Linked DNA regions of Nothobranchius furzeri. The protein of the gene in region 1 purifies or fractionates together with the protein of each later gene. This does not show direct contact. Links are inferred from orthologs where the notes say so. Each region holds a gene or a part of one and is shown on either strand. Other genes may lie near its edges. The genes, in order: aicda and ctnnbl1.

Region 1 (7,259 bases):
CGCCCGGGCTTCAGGAGGATCTGCAGGCTGGTGACGGGCAGCTGGTATCGCAGGGAGGGTCTCGGTCGAATGCTGGTCCGGAGTCTGGAGCAGAGGGAGCTGGAGACCGGTACACACAGATTATACGCTCACGTCCCCTACCCGTCCAAACTGGCGGAAGCCTTCTTCAAGAAAGTGGGCTATCGACAGCTGGGGGAGGGGACTGATGAAGAAGATGAAGATGAGATAAAAACAGAGACTCCGGAGAGAGGATTTATGGGATACCCCCTCACTAAAGTCTTCTACAAAGATCTGTGAGGGATGCTGGACTTGTGCAGGTAAAGAAAGCTGAAAGGTGTCAAAAACAAAGTGTCTTCTCAGTGTGGTAACGCCTCCTATGGTCGTTTTTTTTCATTATGTGCAAAATGTATTAATTTGTGGAACTTTGTTTAACTTATGCAGGTATTTATTTATTATATGAGTTACTAAAACTCAAATCTCTCATTTGAAACGGCATCTTTCTGTTTTGATAACAGTCTTCATGATTTATTTATGCAAAAACATTACGACGTCTCAGGTGTGCTGTACAAATAACTACACGTGATAAAATAAAACGCTTCTGCAAAAGGTGTCTCCTGCTCAGTTTGTTTCTCTAGCTGAGCTACGTACGGGCGCCTTCGCTCCTTTCTGAAACCGTACAGATGTGTCGGTGTTTACAGTTACTGTATAGGAAATCTGTGTGGTTTTATGTGAATCTGCATCTTTTATCCGAGCGCTCCTCGTCTGTCTCCACTCACTTTCACACAATTGCGGGTTTATTAGTCTGCAGAATTCATCGTCATCTAAATCCAAACGCTTCTAATGAAAATGTGTTACTAATATGTTTTAAATGTCCTAAAGCTCACAGTGCATCAAACGTTCACACAGAAATCCTGTGTGGTTTGCAGGAGACAAGCAGCTCATGAGTGAAACTGCACGCGACCTCCTGCCTGAGGCTAACCTTAATATGGTTAGCAGCTCTCGCGCTTTCCTCTGAGCAGACCGACCCTCCTGCTAACCTCAGACCATCTCAGTGTCGCAGCATTCAGCCACAGATAAAACACTGCCGGATGTTTGCACACCTGTTGTGTGGAGACGAATATAGGCCCTGAGAGAACTGCTAAATCCTGCACGGCACTTTCGTTTTTTCATGAAAAACACAAACCATCTTTACAATATGCACATGTGAGGTTTGCCTTTTTGGAAAACACTGATTTATCTTGCAGGCATAAGAGCTGAGTCACTGAGCTCTAGTCTTTAGACACTTTTAACTTTCCTTCAGCTGAACACTCCCTGATTTAGCTGTAGCTTTCTCAGTGGCCTAGTGGTAGAGTGTCCGTCCTGAGACTGGGAGATCAGGGGTTCGACTCCTAGTCGGGTCATACCAAAGACTTTGAAAAAATGGGACCCAACGCCTCCCTGCTTGACACTCAGCATTAAGGGGTTGGATTGGGGGGTTAAGCCACCAAATGGTTCCCGAGCGCGGCTGTGTCTGCAGCTCACCGCTCCCCCAGGGGATGGGTCAAATGCGGAGAACAAATTTCGCACACACACCTGTGTGTGTGACAACTAATGGGACTTTAACTTTTTAGATTTAATGGCTCAGTGCGGTTATTTTTGGTCATTCATCAGGTTGTTTCCTCGTTGCTGCCGAGCTGCAGACACCTGCAAGCGGAGCCTCTGCCCGCCTGATCTGCAGCTATTATTGTTGTCAGGAAACAGATGTGAGCTCACACACTGGAAAGAAAGTCTGCTTGTAACTGTGGTCTTATGTGTCTGCACGGTACCGATGTGTGTGTGAGTGTGAGTGTGTGTGTGTGTGTGTGGGCGGGTGGGTTTCGGAAAATGTGACTTGGCACTTCCTACACTCGCTTTCTCCCCTCTGACTTTAGGTTAAATGCACATGTCTGGTCTTTGTGGACAACTCCGGCACACAAGACGCAGACAGTGCATGAGAGGAGGGCTGGTAGTGCACGTGAGCGTTCACGTGTGACTGAGAGATGACCTTGGTCAGCTGCGGTTGAGCCCAGAGAGCTGGATGGGAAGTGGTTACATACAGTCTGGCGTTTGATCAGCTCCTTGGAAGTTCAGGGGAGAAAAAAGGATCCATGCAGGCGAGCGCTGTCAGTAAGATGCGAGGCTGCACAGAGCATGCAGACACACTCCTGTGAATCAGTTGAAGCGTTGGGCCACCACACAATCATAGGATCAATTAGAGAAATTTGTTCCAGATGATGTACAGCATATAGACTGTGTTAATGGCATGGCTAACACACAGATGAGCTCCAAAAACAGCCACCCTGGGAAACGGTGAATTCCCCGAGCCACAGAGTGCACCAAAGGGTGAGGGGAGTCATGGGAAAGCCGGATGCCACCGAGAGAGCAGACAGAGCAAAGGAAACACGCTGATGATGTCTGAAAGGCTCACGAGCGAGATTCACACACACACACACACACATGCTGCGGTTGGTCAGGTGGTCCAGCAGACACGTTGGGTGAAGAAGGACGACTACAAATCTGCTCCCAGACGACAGAGTTTGGGAAAACCCAGATCAGGAGACAAGAGAGTTAAGGCCTCTGTGGTCTGGGAACGCCTGTGGCTCCACAGAATGTTGAGGGCCAGAGGAAGTGGGGGACAAGCTAGGCGGGAATCTTTAATGACATGAGGAGAGTGAAGGGGCAGGGTTACAGGAGGTCAATCAAGGTGAGGACATTTGTGCAAGTTTAAAAGGAAATTTGGAAAACTGAAGGGAATTAAATCGGGGTTTGGAAGTTTTCCATCCAACTGGTTAAATTTTCCAGTGGGGAAAAAATATCAGAAAACACTGAGGATTTAAAGGAATAGTTCACTTGTTTAATCAATACATTTGCAGTGGTTTCTATTAAGGAAGAATACCTTGTTAGTCGTTGTCCGGGGTAAAAAAACCACCGGTGCATCATTTCCAGGAACCACATCAGTGAGCCACATCACAGCTGAGCTTCAGACGGCAGGTTGTTGCTGATATTTGCACATCTCGCCACTGATTGGATAACAGCAATGCAACTCTACCGCTGACTTGCAATGCGGACATTTCATCCCCACAATTATCCAAATCCTGGAGGAGTTCTGCTGTGTGGTGAATTTGCTAATGCTAACTCTAGCTTCTACTAGCCAAGATGTTCCCTGCTGTTTCCTGGATGCTAAACCAACAGCAGCCTTCCCCGTCATGAGCCAAAATGGGTGAGTCCATGAATGTTAAGTGACAGTGAGACGTAGATCTGCCAGACTTTCTAATCCTGGAGATTCGCCATCTATTTTCTATCAGAAGCTAATGCAGGAGTTATGTGTAGGAGACTATTTTCATGTTCATCCTGCATGAAAAACTCTTGAGTAACCCATTCTAATCAGAAATAATCATTAAAAATGGCTTTTCAGTGTTCGACACCTTTAAAAAAGTCTGTGCTGCTGTGTAATCTGCCACTCTATGGAACTAGGGTTGGGACAATACCAAGTTTTGTAACTGTGACTCTTGTTAATTAGCATGTAATTCACATTTTGTAACACTTAACTTTCCTTTTGTAACAGGTCATTTAATTTTGTAGCATGTAATTCTCATTCTGTAACATGTAACTTCGGTACGTACCGTATTTTTACGACCATAGGGCGCACCGTGTTATAGGGTGCAGCTTCAGTTACGGGTGTCTTTTTGGTATTTAACACATACAAAAGGCGCACCGGGTTATAGGGCGCGGTACAACGTACCGGTAAAGCATCGGTGCGGGCTCGGGACTCGGAACATATCAGTGCAAACCAGACGTTGTGAAAATTACAAACAGCCAAAAGCATGCTTCACTTTACTGGTCTAGTCCTGGTTCAGACCTGGTTTAGAGCGCACGTGCACTTCCTCATTGCGTGCGCTGACGGCTCGTGCTCTTCTTATGCGCTGTGTTGAAGTTCAGAATGTGTTTAGTTGGTGGATTTAACCACATAAACTTTCCACATGAACAAAATCATATGTGTGTTATTAACAGGCCTAAGAAAATAGTGTGATTTGAATTGTGTTTTATTAAAAAAGGCAGCGGGAGCAAATATGAGTTCGGTTGTGCTTTATTTGAGTGCTATTAATTAATAATTAGATCCATCAAAGTCCTCATCTTCTGTATCTGATAAGAACAACTGGGCTAGAGTACAGTCACACACACCAGTTTCGCTCTCGTCACAGTCAGAGTCTGTCTCGCTGCCGTCCGTCTCCTCGTGAATGAAGCCGGCTTTTGCAAAAGCCCGAACAACAGTACAAGCAGACACATTAGCCCAAGCTTCCTCCACTTGCGAACCATGGACTCATTAATGCTGAATTCTCTCGCCGCCGCTCTATTCCCGTGTTTCTCCGCGTAGCTGTTCGCTTGCAGTTTAAACTGTGCTTCATAGGCGTGTCTCTCAGCAGGTGCCATTCTCAGGGTTGTCAGGACAATGTTCAGCATACCGCGCAAACCTGCCCTTTTGAACTATTCAGGGTCTGTCTTCGTTCATGTCCGCACGTTCTCGCCACGCCCCTTGCCGTTCTTGCCACGCCCCTTGCCTCCTACTACGTTTGCGTCTCACAACAACACAATAGGCGCACCGCACCATAGGGCGCGGCGTACATTTTGGAGAAAATTTAAGACTTTTAGGTGCACCTTATGGTCGTGAAAATATGGTAATATGAAACTTTTATTTAGTAGCTTGCAGAAAACAATCAATGTACAACTTTCAAAACACAAATCTCAGTCTACAGTTACAAACATTTCGTCCCAATTCTAGCTTGCTTCCAACAGGAATCGTCTTGAGCAGGAATCCAAGACTCATGATTGGCTGGTCAGACATAGCTTGTCATTGGTTGCTTGGGAAGGAAGCTAGAATTGGGACAAAATGTTTCTAACTGTAGACTGAGATGTGTGTTTTGAGAGTTGTGATTTAAAACGTGTACATTGATTGTTTTTTTGCAAGTTACAAAATGAAAATTTCATGTTACGTGTCAAATGTTACGTGTTACAAAACAAGAATTGCGTGCTACAAAACGTAAGTTAAAATTACAAAATATGTTACTGGTTGCAAAGCTTTGTACAAGTTACCTGTAATATTGTCCCAATCGTAGTTCCATACTACTCATTCTAGCAATAAATAAATAAAAATCAAAGAAAAGTGAAAAAAAAATCCTTTCTTTAAATAAAATAAAATAAAGCAATATTCAAATTTTGAGCTGATTTGTGCTGCAGAAAGTGACAACCACCTCTTCTGCATCACGCCCGCTCAAACTGACTGAAAATTGTTTCTGTCCAACCAGAAGCTGTCTCTGCTTTATGCAGGATGTTTATGATTAGAGGTGTAGATTCTCAGTTCCCCCCTCCTTAACCCCCTAAAGACACACACACACACACACACACACACACACACACACACACACACACACACACACACACACACACACACACACACACACACACACACACACACACACACACATTCACTTTTTCTCATTTTCCTCCATTTAATCCCGAGTGACGAAGCAAAGCGCATCTTTCAAAATGATCACAAAGCTCGACAGGTGAGACAGACATGCATTTTATTCATCTGTTGCATTTTTCTGCCTTTTTCTCACGTTGCACACGCAAATCGGGTTCAAAGAATGAATCGGGAAGTTTATTCTTAAAGCATTTACTACACTAGCCTCCTTTAATGACATTTTATTCATGAACGCTCAGGTTTCAGTATTAATAATTGATGAACGACTGTCTTGGTTTCACTAAAAGTTGTGAAACTGAGAGCGAGAGAAAGGTTTGTTAGTGAATGTTAGTTGTTGTCTGAATGCCCACTGTTCACATTCAGCAAACCGCAGACTTTACATGTTTGTCTTGCTTTCTTTTCAAATGAATCTAAAGAATTTGAACAGATTTTCTCACAGATAAATAAACAGTTCAGCTCCTTATTTAATCCTTCTGATTGAGAAAACAGCTGCTCTTTAAACGTGATCCGTCTTTAGTCTGCTGAGCGACATTGGCTTATAAAAAAAGGAAATCTCCTCTTTTCCCTGTTTGTTCCAGCATTCTCCTGCCTAAAAAGAAGTTCATCTATCATTATAAGAACATGCGCTGGGCGAGAGGTCGGTGTGAGACGTACCTGTGTTTTGTGGTGAAAAGGCGAGCGGGCCCAGACTCCTTGTCCTTTGACTTTGGACATCTTCGCAATCGCAATGGCTGTCATGTGGAGGTAAATAAGCAGCGAAGAGATGATAAATAACTGAACACATTGTGATTTTATGTAATAAAACTGTACATCATGATATATAGAAAATTGGGTTTTCGATTCTTACATTTTCTTCAGATTTTATTACATTGCAGACATTAAAACACACAATATATCTAAAGTTTTATTTCATTTTAAAACTAAAAAAACAAAGTTTTGGCTGCTTTGTAATGAAGCCATTCCTTCTCACAAACCTCCCAGCCAGCACACATATAGGTGGGCTCCATATGGAATATATATGGGTCCCAACAGGGTTTGGCTGCAGTTTCCACAGTGGCCCCATGGGGGCTTGCCCAGAAAGGTTTTTGCCCACATAGATTTTAACAGGCCCTACATGGGTTTTCAGAGGGTTTGACATTGGCAAATTAAAATCTTTGCTAGCAACCCCCCGTGGAGCCACCATGGAAACTGCGGACAAACCCTTATGGGGCCCATTCGGCTTCCCCATATATATTCTATATGGGGCCCACCTACGTGGGCTGGCTGGGCTAAAATACAATAAAATGTTGAAATGGCGATGTTTTTATAGGCAGGCCTACGTGGAATTAATATTGAGCACAAAAAAGAGGATGTGTGTTTCATCTTGAGGTCTAAATATGCCGCTCTGAAATGTTGAATCACTTTCCGATGATTATGATCCCCACACAGCCATCACATCTGCCCTGATGCAACCCCAAACACCATAAAAACAGTGTTTTTTTTTTTTCATTTTTGAATGGGAAACTTTGATTTTCTTAACTTTTGGGCATATTTTAAGTGAAGGTTTTTTTTTGGATGACTTCCAGCTCAGAGAACACACTTTGGCATAAGGTACTTAAAAGTCAACTTGTTTGTATCTTTAATACATTTGCAGCAGTTGCTAGTAGAAACGAATGTCTTGTAAGTTGCTCTCTGGGGAAAAAAAGCTCCGGCGTGCCTGTTTCAGGAAGTAGAAATCAGCTGGGGGAGAAAGTAGCTTCCGACGGCAGGATTTGGAGTC
Region 2 (7,221 bases), on another chromosome or scaffold:
CACAATACTGAAGGATGCATTTGTGTGGAAATGGTTTTACGGCATCGCCTCGGATTAATTCTGCAGGGAAATGATGAGGAGACGTCATTAGGCAGATGGTTGCATATGAAAAGCTTTGGGTCCTGTAGGGATTGTGAAATGTGTTCATTATTGTGCGAAACAACAAAGATTTGTTACATTTGACAAATCCTGCAGATTCAGAGGTTTTGCTAAACTCAGAAATTCCTCAATCAAAAAAATCTTACAAAGCAAAAGTAAAATAGGCCAAACTGATTAAATTGAGCATAAATTAAAAGCTTCAGGGTACAATGGGGCTCAACTATAAGGAGAAAAACCTTTTACATCATAAGAACATTAATGCTTTACTGTGCAAGAAAAACTATATTTTTGCCATTTTTGGTGGGGCAACACAAAGTAAAATCTAATGTAATAAAAAATGATAATAAAAATAAAAACATTCCCATTTTTTTCTAGAATTCTTGGACTTTTTGGGAAGAAATGGGAACTAAAATATGGTTTACAGAGAGATTTCCTTCCAGGCTGAAGGATTAATACATCAATCTTTGTTCATTTTGTATAAAAACAATGCAATAATACCCACAAGATTAGTCAAAAGTCTAAAAATTGCAGTCAAGTGGCTCTCTTAGAGGATGAATCTCGTATCTTCACTTCTGAGGACAAATATAAAATAAAGCCACAAGCAGCATATAAACATTTAACAGAGACCAACTTTATTCCCGTAACAGAGAAGTTTATGTAAGTAGTTTAACTGAAGAAATAGTGATAAATAGTGGCCATGATGTCATCAATTCCACTATTAAACACAACTGGAATTCTGAAGTCGGCATGTTGGTCCTTGCATCATGAGTGACAAGTTAACATCACTTTACTGCTTAGACTGTTGTGACAATTTCACATCAAACCACTTGTGATGAGGAAAATTACAATCGGTACATTCATCCTAAATGAGTTGAAGTCTCAGTTACCTGATGTTTTGATTTGAATCTGATTCAAACACATACATGCAAGTTTCAACTGAATAAAGGTTAGTTTCAATCAAATACATGCAAGTAACAATCGATTGCATGAACCTTTTCAATTAAATGCATGCAAGTTTCTATCAAATGCAGGTTTCAATCAAATACATGTAAGTTACCATTGATTACATGCAAGTTTCAATCGAATGCATGAAAGTTTCTATCCAATATTTCACAGTTTTACACTTTCAATTCAATTCAATTCAATTTTATTTACAAAGCGCCAAATCACGACAAGAGTCGTCTCAGGGTATTTCACATAATAAACATTCCAATTCTGGTCAGTTCATTAAGTCAATCAGAACAAAGTTTCCTATACAAGAAACCGAGCAAATTGCACGCATTTGCACTTAACTTGCTATCTTGAGACACCATCTTCATTATGTGATCGGTGTCATCTTTGAAAAAAAAAAAGTAAAACAATAGTTGAGTAACAACTTATTGCATTGTTCATAAACTGAGCTATTAAGCATTTAGATTACTCGTGTTTGCTTTGATTTCCTTTCCCTCTCTCCCCTTGCCCCTCGTGCGGTTGGACGTCAAGCTTCAGTGCTTGGCAGTGGCCTTCCTTTTGAATGTTGTCTCTATTGCTCTACTGTCACAGATCACTGGCCAGAGACTGGAGAGGCAACAGAGGCGTCGACACTGCTCTCCACTCAGACATTTCACAATGTTTCTCACTGAAGGGGTGATTTTCTGCTTGTCTGGAACAGTAAGAGATCCGGGCATATAAATGTCTGCGGTTATGAATGCAGCAAAATTGAGCCCATTGGACCAGAACTTCATACATGTGGCTTTGAGGAGGATTGGTAAGGAGCTCATATTGTTATTAAGTCAGCACAAAGGTAGCATAGTTATGATGCACAGACATTGATTTCTGAGCTTATTAGTTCATGCACATGTAAAGATATTAAAATAATAAGCAGGCTGGTGTCAATTTCTGATACTTCATTGTATTGTATTTTTAGTGTGCAATAAAATAAGCAAAAAGCAGATGTGCTGATTTTAGAGTCAGACAATTACCAAATTGATCCTAAGCGATAACCATTTGGCTGGCATAACAACCATATGTTTGAATTAACATTACATCTTTCATAATTATTATCTAGATAATAATCTTATTTTTAGATTGTTTGGTACAATCTTACATTGATTTACTTTGTAATATAACCCTTTTAGATACAGAGGAATAAAAAAAGCTAATTATTATTACAGTTCCATATTAATTGCTTGGTTTATGTTTACGTATTTGGCAGACGCTTTTGTCCAAAGCGACTTGCGGGTGACAATCAAGCCAGCAGGTTGCCCTGGAGGCCTTGGAAAAACATTTCTGACACACGAATTTATTGTTTTACTTTTACAAAAAAACAAGAGCTAGTTTTATACCAAAGGTTCATTCACTCATTCTCTCATTCTCTCTCTCTCTCTCTCTCTCTCACACACACACACACACACACACACACACACACACACACACACACACACACACACACACACACACACACACACACACACACACACACACACACACGCCCCGCAGGAAGAAACTGTGGAGGCTTCTGCTTTACGACAGTGTTTCTTTTCATACGGCAGGCCAGCATTTTACGGCACAGCGCCGGCATGTTCAGATTTTGTTGTTAGCTAAAAGCCAATCGTGCAGGGTTCTTTTCTTAATTCCAAGTGCATTTATCTTACGGTGAAGTGATCTAATCTGAACAAATGGACGTCGGGGAGCTTCTGAACTATCAGGTATGTATTTTTTTCAAGCAGTCAACGCAGGGAACGCTCTTTCTGTAATCTCTTAACTGTTGGCATGCATGTAGCAACACAGCCTTGCTAAAAGTTACCAATAAAATCCAGAAAGCTGATTAGTTTCTTATTTATTTATGTGTGGAGATCTACGAGTCTGTAAATTACCCATTCCTTGCGCTTCCATGGTAATGGAGCAGTTTAGCTTTTCTCATCGAAGAAAAACGTGACAGTTAGCTTGTTAGCTAATGAAGGCTAAGGATCGTCAGTTTATGTTTGCGTGGTTATTTTTGCCTCCCCTGGCTTTCCTAATGGATGCCTTTGTCTAGAGTAGTGTTTACGTCTATGTTTTTTTGTTTTTGTCCACAAAGAACAATAAAATAATCACTTATGACACTTTGTACTAACATGCAATCCTCTGCATCAGCTCTCTGTTTTTATTAACAGTTTTATTGTTATATTTGTGTCTTATTGTAAAATAGTTTGTGATTTTTATCCCTAAAATATTCCTGAAAACGCTTGTTTATTTTTAGAGACAGCAAAACGACCTGATACAAAGGAGTTTCATATAATAGTGTCAAGCATCACCCGAGAGAAGGAGCGGAGCTAGCTTTCTTTTAAATTTATTTCACATTAATTGAAAATAAGAAGTATTTTAATGGCTTTCTTCGTTTTTTGCAGAGAAATATATTTTAAGGAAAGTAGCTATTCCAAAATAAGATGGTTAAATGTATGGGTCACATATTTATTGTAACTAAATGGTGAATTACAGTTTGGCAATGTAACCATTAACCTGATTAAATTGATTGTTTACATTTGTTTATTATATAATTTTACATATTATGTTGTCATTTAGTATGGTATAAGTTTTCTGATAAGTAAAAACCAATTAGACAAAAGAAAATACATTTTCAGAAATCCTGTTCAGCCCAGATACATTTTCTTTGTTTTATTTTTTGACCAAAGTTTGTAGTTTTGTTTTAATTTAAACAATGTGAGACTCACTCCACTCACTTTCACCTTATATCCATTTATTTTCATCTTTTAGCCTGATAGAGGAGCCAAGCGCCTGAGGAACGGTGATGGAGGCGCAGGAGAAGACGACAACTCCAGAGGAGGGAAGCAGCTGAAAGGTCTGGGAGCGAGGGAGCTAGCTAGATACAGGGAGGCTGAAGGAGGAGCGGAGATGAGAGAAACTGAAGAAATAACTGAAGACCGAAAGATGATCTTGGAAAAACTGATGGATCAGGATGGGGAAGAACCTGAGGTGGGTAAAGGTCCTTTTCGTTAAGGGTGTGTACTTAAGTGAAGCGAAGCATGATTTATTACATTGTTTGTGTTAATCTGCCTAAACTGAACGCTTCATCCGTTTTCTTGCAGCAAATTTAGAATTATTAAGATAATAGCAAATTAGTAATCTAACCATTATATTGTTAGGGTTAATGCACCAGAATTAGACAGAGCAGAAATAATCGTTCTATCCATAGTTTATTGAACGTCTTAGATATTTTTGTAGTTTAATAATTAATATTAAGTAAATTCACTTTAAATTAATAATCCTTGTTGATAAAAACTAACCAGAGGATACTAAATTCCTGCTAGTGCAGTTATTATGTATCCTTAAATATAATTTCTACTTGTTTATATCTTTCTTTTACAATTTCACCAGTAAGAATATTATTTGGACATGGATAAATTATATTGCTGTATTATGTAGAACTGGACTTACAAAGAGGGGTTGTTGATTAAATGTTAAAATGGCCTGCCATACTGGCTTATTGTAGACAGGGAATTGTACAAAATTACTAAATGAACTGTCGTTCACTGTATTGTTCACTGTTCTAATATTACTGTTAAATCCCTTCAGTCACTAACATATTCTAATTATTTGTCTGCCTGATGATCTCAGACATGACAACATGTAGGAGATGTTGCAGCTTTTTTTTCTTGCCAGCTCTTCAGGTGGACGAGCCGTCGTGCTAAATTTCTCCTTTAGCAGCTTTGAGAATTTAAACTATTTCCTCACAGGAGACTTCAAGTGTTTCTCATGTGGAAAGGAAGCAGTCCCGGTGGTTCCTGAAGCTGGTTCTGCTGCGTGCGTCAGTTCAGTTTCACTTTTGTTTTGGTCCGTTAATGTCTTATTTATTTTTGGTGTTGGAGACGTCTTTATGGTGGGTTAACTGCAGCATTTCACGGCTAATCACTGCAACCCTGCAGGTCAAAGCCACGCCCTATCGTAGCCTCAGTACATCTATCATTGCCCTGAACAGTTTTGTGTCGAGCCAATCACAGAGCTCTACGTTTGTTAGGTGGGCTTAGAGCTGGAGCTGCGATGGAGAAAAACAACAAAGATGGCGCTGGCCGCTGGCTAGGGAACAGTGCTCGTTTGAAACAGCCTTGGCATCAACTTTGGACAATTTAGACTTGAGCCTTTCTTTGAGACTCGACAAGATGGATGTACTTAAAGAGACAATGTGTAGTTTTTACCATTCATTTCTGGAAGTATCCATCAAAATGTTGTTAAAGATAAATATAATGATGCCCAGTTGTTGACAAATATTGGCAGCTTTGTAACAACTTCCTGATGTAAGAGGCGAGTCTCCTCTTTGTTTTGTTAGTTTTGGCGTCGACATCATCCTAGTGCACAACGTTCCATGACTCTTAAAAAAACAGTAAAAATGCTGAAGAACGCTGGCAGCGAAGGGCTTTTCTGATCAGGAAACAGCTGGTAGTGAATAAGTTAAATGTTGTTGTTTTGCACATTTACCTCTTCACGTGTTGCCAGTGATGAAAGGGAGTCTGATGTGCTTGTTATTTTGCTGAAGTTTGCACTAACCAGGGCTTTTTGACCCTAATGGGCATCTGTTGTTAAGGTCTGACTCCAACACAAAAATACTGCTTACTTCCAATGATTTAGGTATGTACTTCCCCCTATCGCCAGGAAAAATACACACCGTCACTTTAAGTCATTTATTTAATAAAAAGAGATGCATTTGCTTCTTTGATGTTGTGTGGTGGACTTCCTCATTGACTGACATCCATAGGGGTGAGCGCGTTGCATTGTTCATTGCTTTGATTAGTCCTAGTGACGACAGTTTGATAGACAACCGTAGATTCAGCTCCATGGCGGGGTGGCTTTATTAGCTTGTGACCAGACTAAATATTTACATGTAGGATGGCTTACCAGACTAGCAAAGCGGTGCATTTGATTTAATTCTTTTCTCTGCCAACACTGTCACAGGAAAGAGGGCATGAGAAGAGTTTCTCTGGGATTCTTAGCTCCAGTTATACCATAAAGTGTAGTCTGTTTGAAAACGGCACATCTATAATTTAGTTCCTATAATACCACTTTGTACCCTTTTAAAAGATTCACTCTGTCAGGAGGTACTTGAGAGCAAAGTGCTGCATTGTTCATAATGTCAGGCAGTTGACATGTCCTAACTGGTCATTATCGCTCCAGCAGTTTAAGGCATTTAGCCATCAGGAGGTCAAACACATTCTCGTTTCTGTGAAACATTCTTAGATTCCTCCTATTGAAGAAAATTCATTTGCTCCTTTCACATAATTAAGATCGCCCCGATGGCGCTTTGCTATTGTCACAAACAGCTGCTTCAATAAAAGCCTCTTTTTCTTCTCCCCCATTCCTCTTTTCCCTCTATTTCTCCCCTTCTTCCCGCCGACTGCGCTAATCAAACAGGCAGAGCCGATTGACGAGAGCTCAGTGAAGAAAATGATCCTGACCTTTGAGAAAAGGTCGTACAAAAACCAGGAACTGAGGATTAAGTTTCCAGACAATCCGGAAAAGTAAGGCAATTGATAATTGTCCGTTTTCATTTTAAAGATCACGATAATTAAATGTTAGTTTCTGTAGGAACATGCTAAACGCAAGTGAAGCGACTTCTGGGATTTGAAAGGTAAATGTATAAAGATGCTAATATACAATCTGCGTTTTAATGTTTTTAAACCAGGTTCATGGAGTCTGAGTTGGATCTGAATGACATCATCCAAGAAATGCACGTGATCGCCACGATGCCGGACCTCTACCACCTGCTGGTGGAGCTCAATGCCGTCCACTCACTGCTGGGCCTTCTTGGTCATGAAAACACTGATATCCTTTCAGATATTTGATGAACTTGTTGATCCTAAACAGCATTCCTCTGTGCAAATAAACAAAAACAATGTTTTTATTGAGTCACCCCTCCTATCCACTGAATGTGAAAGCGGCGTGTAACGTAATAGTGGCGTTTTAACTGCAAGCTCCCTTCCAACCTTGAGCCTTTAAGACGTGAAACGGGGGCTGTCGGTCCTGTGAATTCAACAAATCTCGGGAGAATTACAACACCACGCGTAATTTCAGAAGACTACTCAATAACACGCAAGGAGAAAGACAGCTGCAAGTATCCGAAAAGGTCTTTTTTCTGTGCTGTTTTTATCG

The links.
Region 2: the proteins of aicda (region 1) and ctnnbl1 purify together in Homo sapiens (affinity purification with western blotting; 3 studies listed by BioGRID, with this or other methods). This does not show direct contact. The link is inferred for Nothobranchius furzeri from reciprocal best matches to the Homo sapiens genes AICDA and CTNNBL1.

What each region holds. Positions count from the first base shown.
Region 1 is NC_091745.1:73,199,282-73,206,540, reverse strand, and holds the start of aicda (single-stranded DNA cytosine deaminase), read left to right. Parts: upstream 1-3,146; coding exon 3,147-3,238; exon of another isoform or gene 3,239-6,078; coding exon 6,079-6,244; intron 6,245-7,259. Other genes in the region: nat14 (probable N-acetyltransferase 14), read left to right, coding at 1-297. UniProt on the Homo sapiens protein: Single-stranded DNA-specific cytidine deaminase. Involved in somatic hypermutation (SHM), gene conversion, and class-switch recombination (CSR) in B-lymphocytes by deaminating C to U during transcription of Ig-variable (V) and Ig-switch (S) region DNA.
Region 2 is NC_091755.1:51,815,707-51,822,927, reverse strand, and holds the start of ctnnbl1 (beta-catenin-like protein 1), read left to right. Parts: upstream 1-2,608; 5' UTR 2,609-2,756; coding exon 2,757-2,786; intron 2,787-3,834; coding exon 3,835-4,053; intron 4,054-6,483; coding exon 6,484-6,590; intron 6,591-6,754; coding exon 6,755-6,894; intron 6,895-7,221. UniProt on the Homo sapiens protein: Component of the PRP19-CDC5L complex that forms an integral part of the spliceosome and is required for activating pre-mRNA splicing.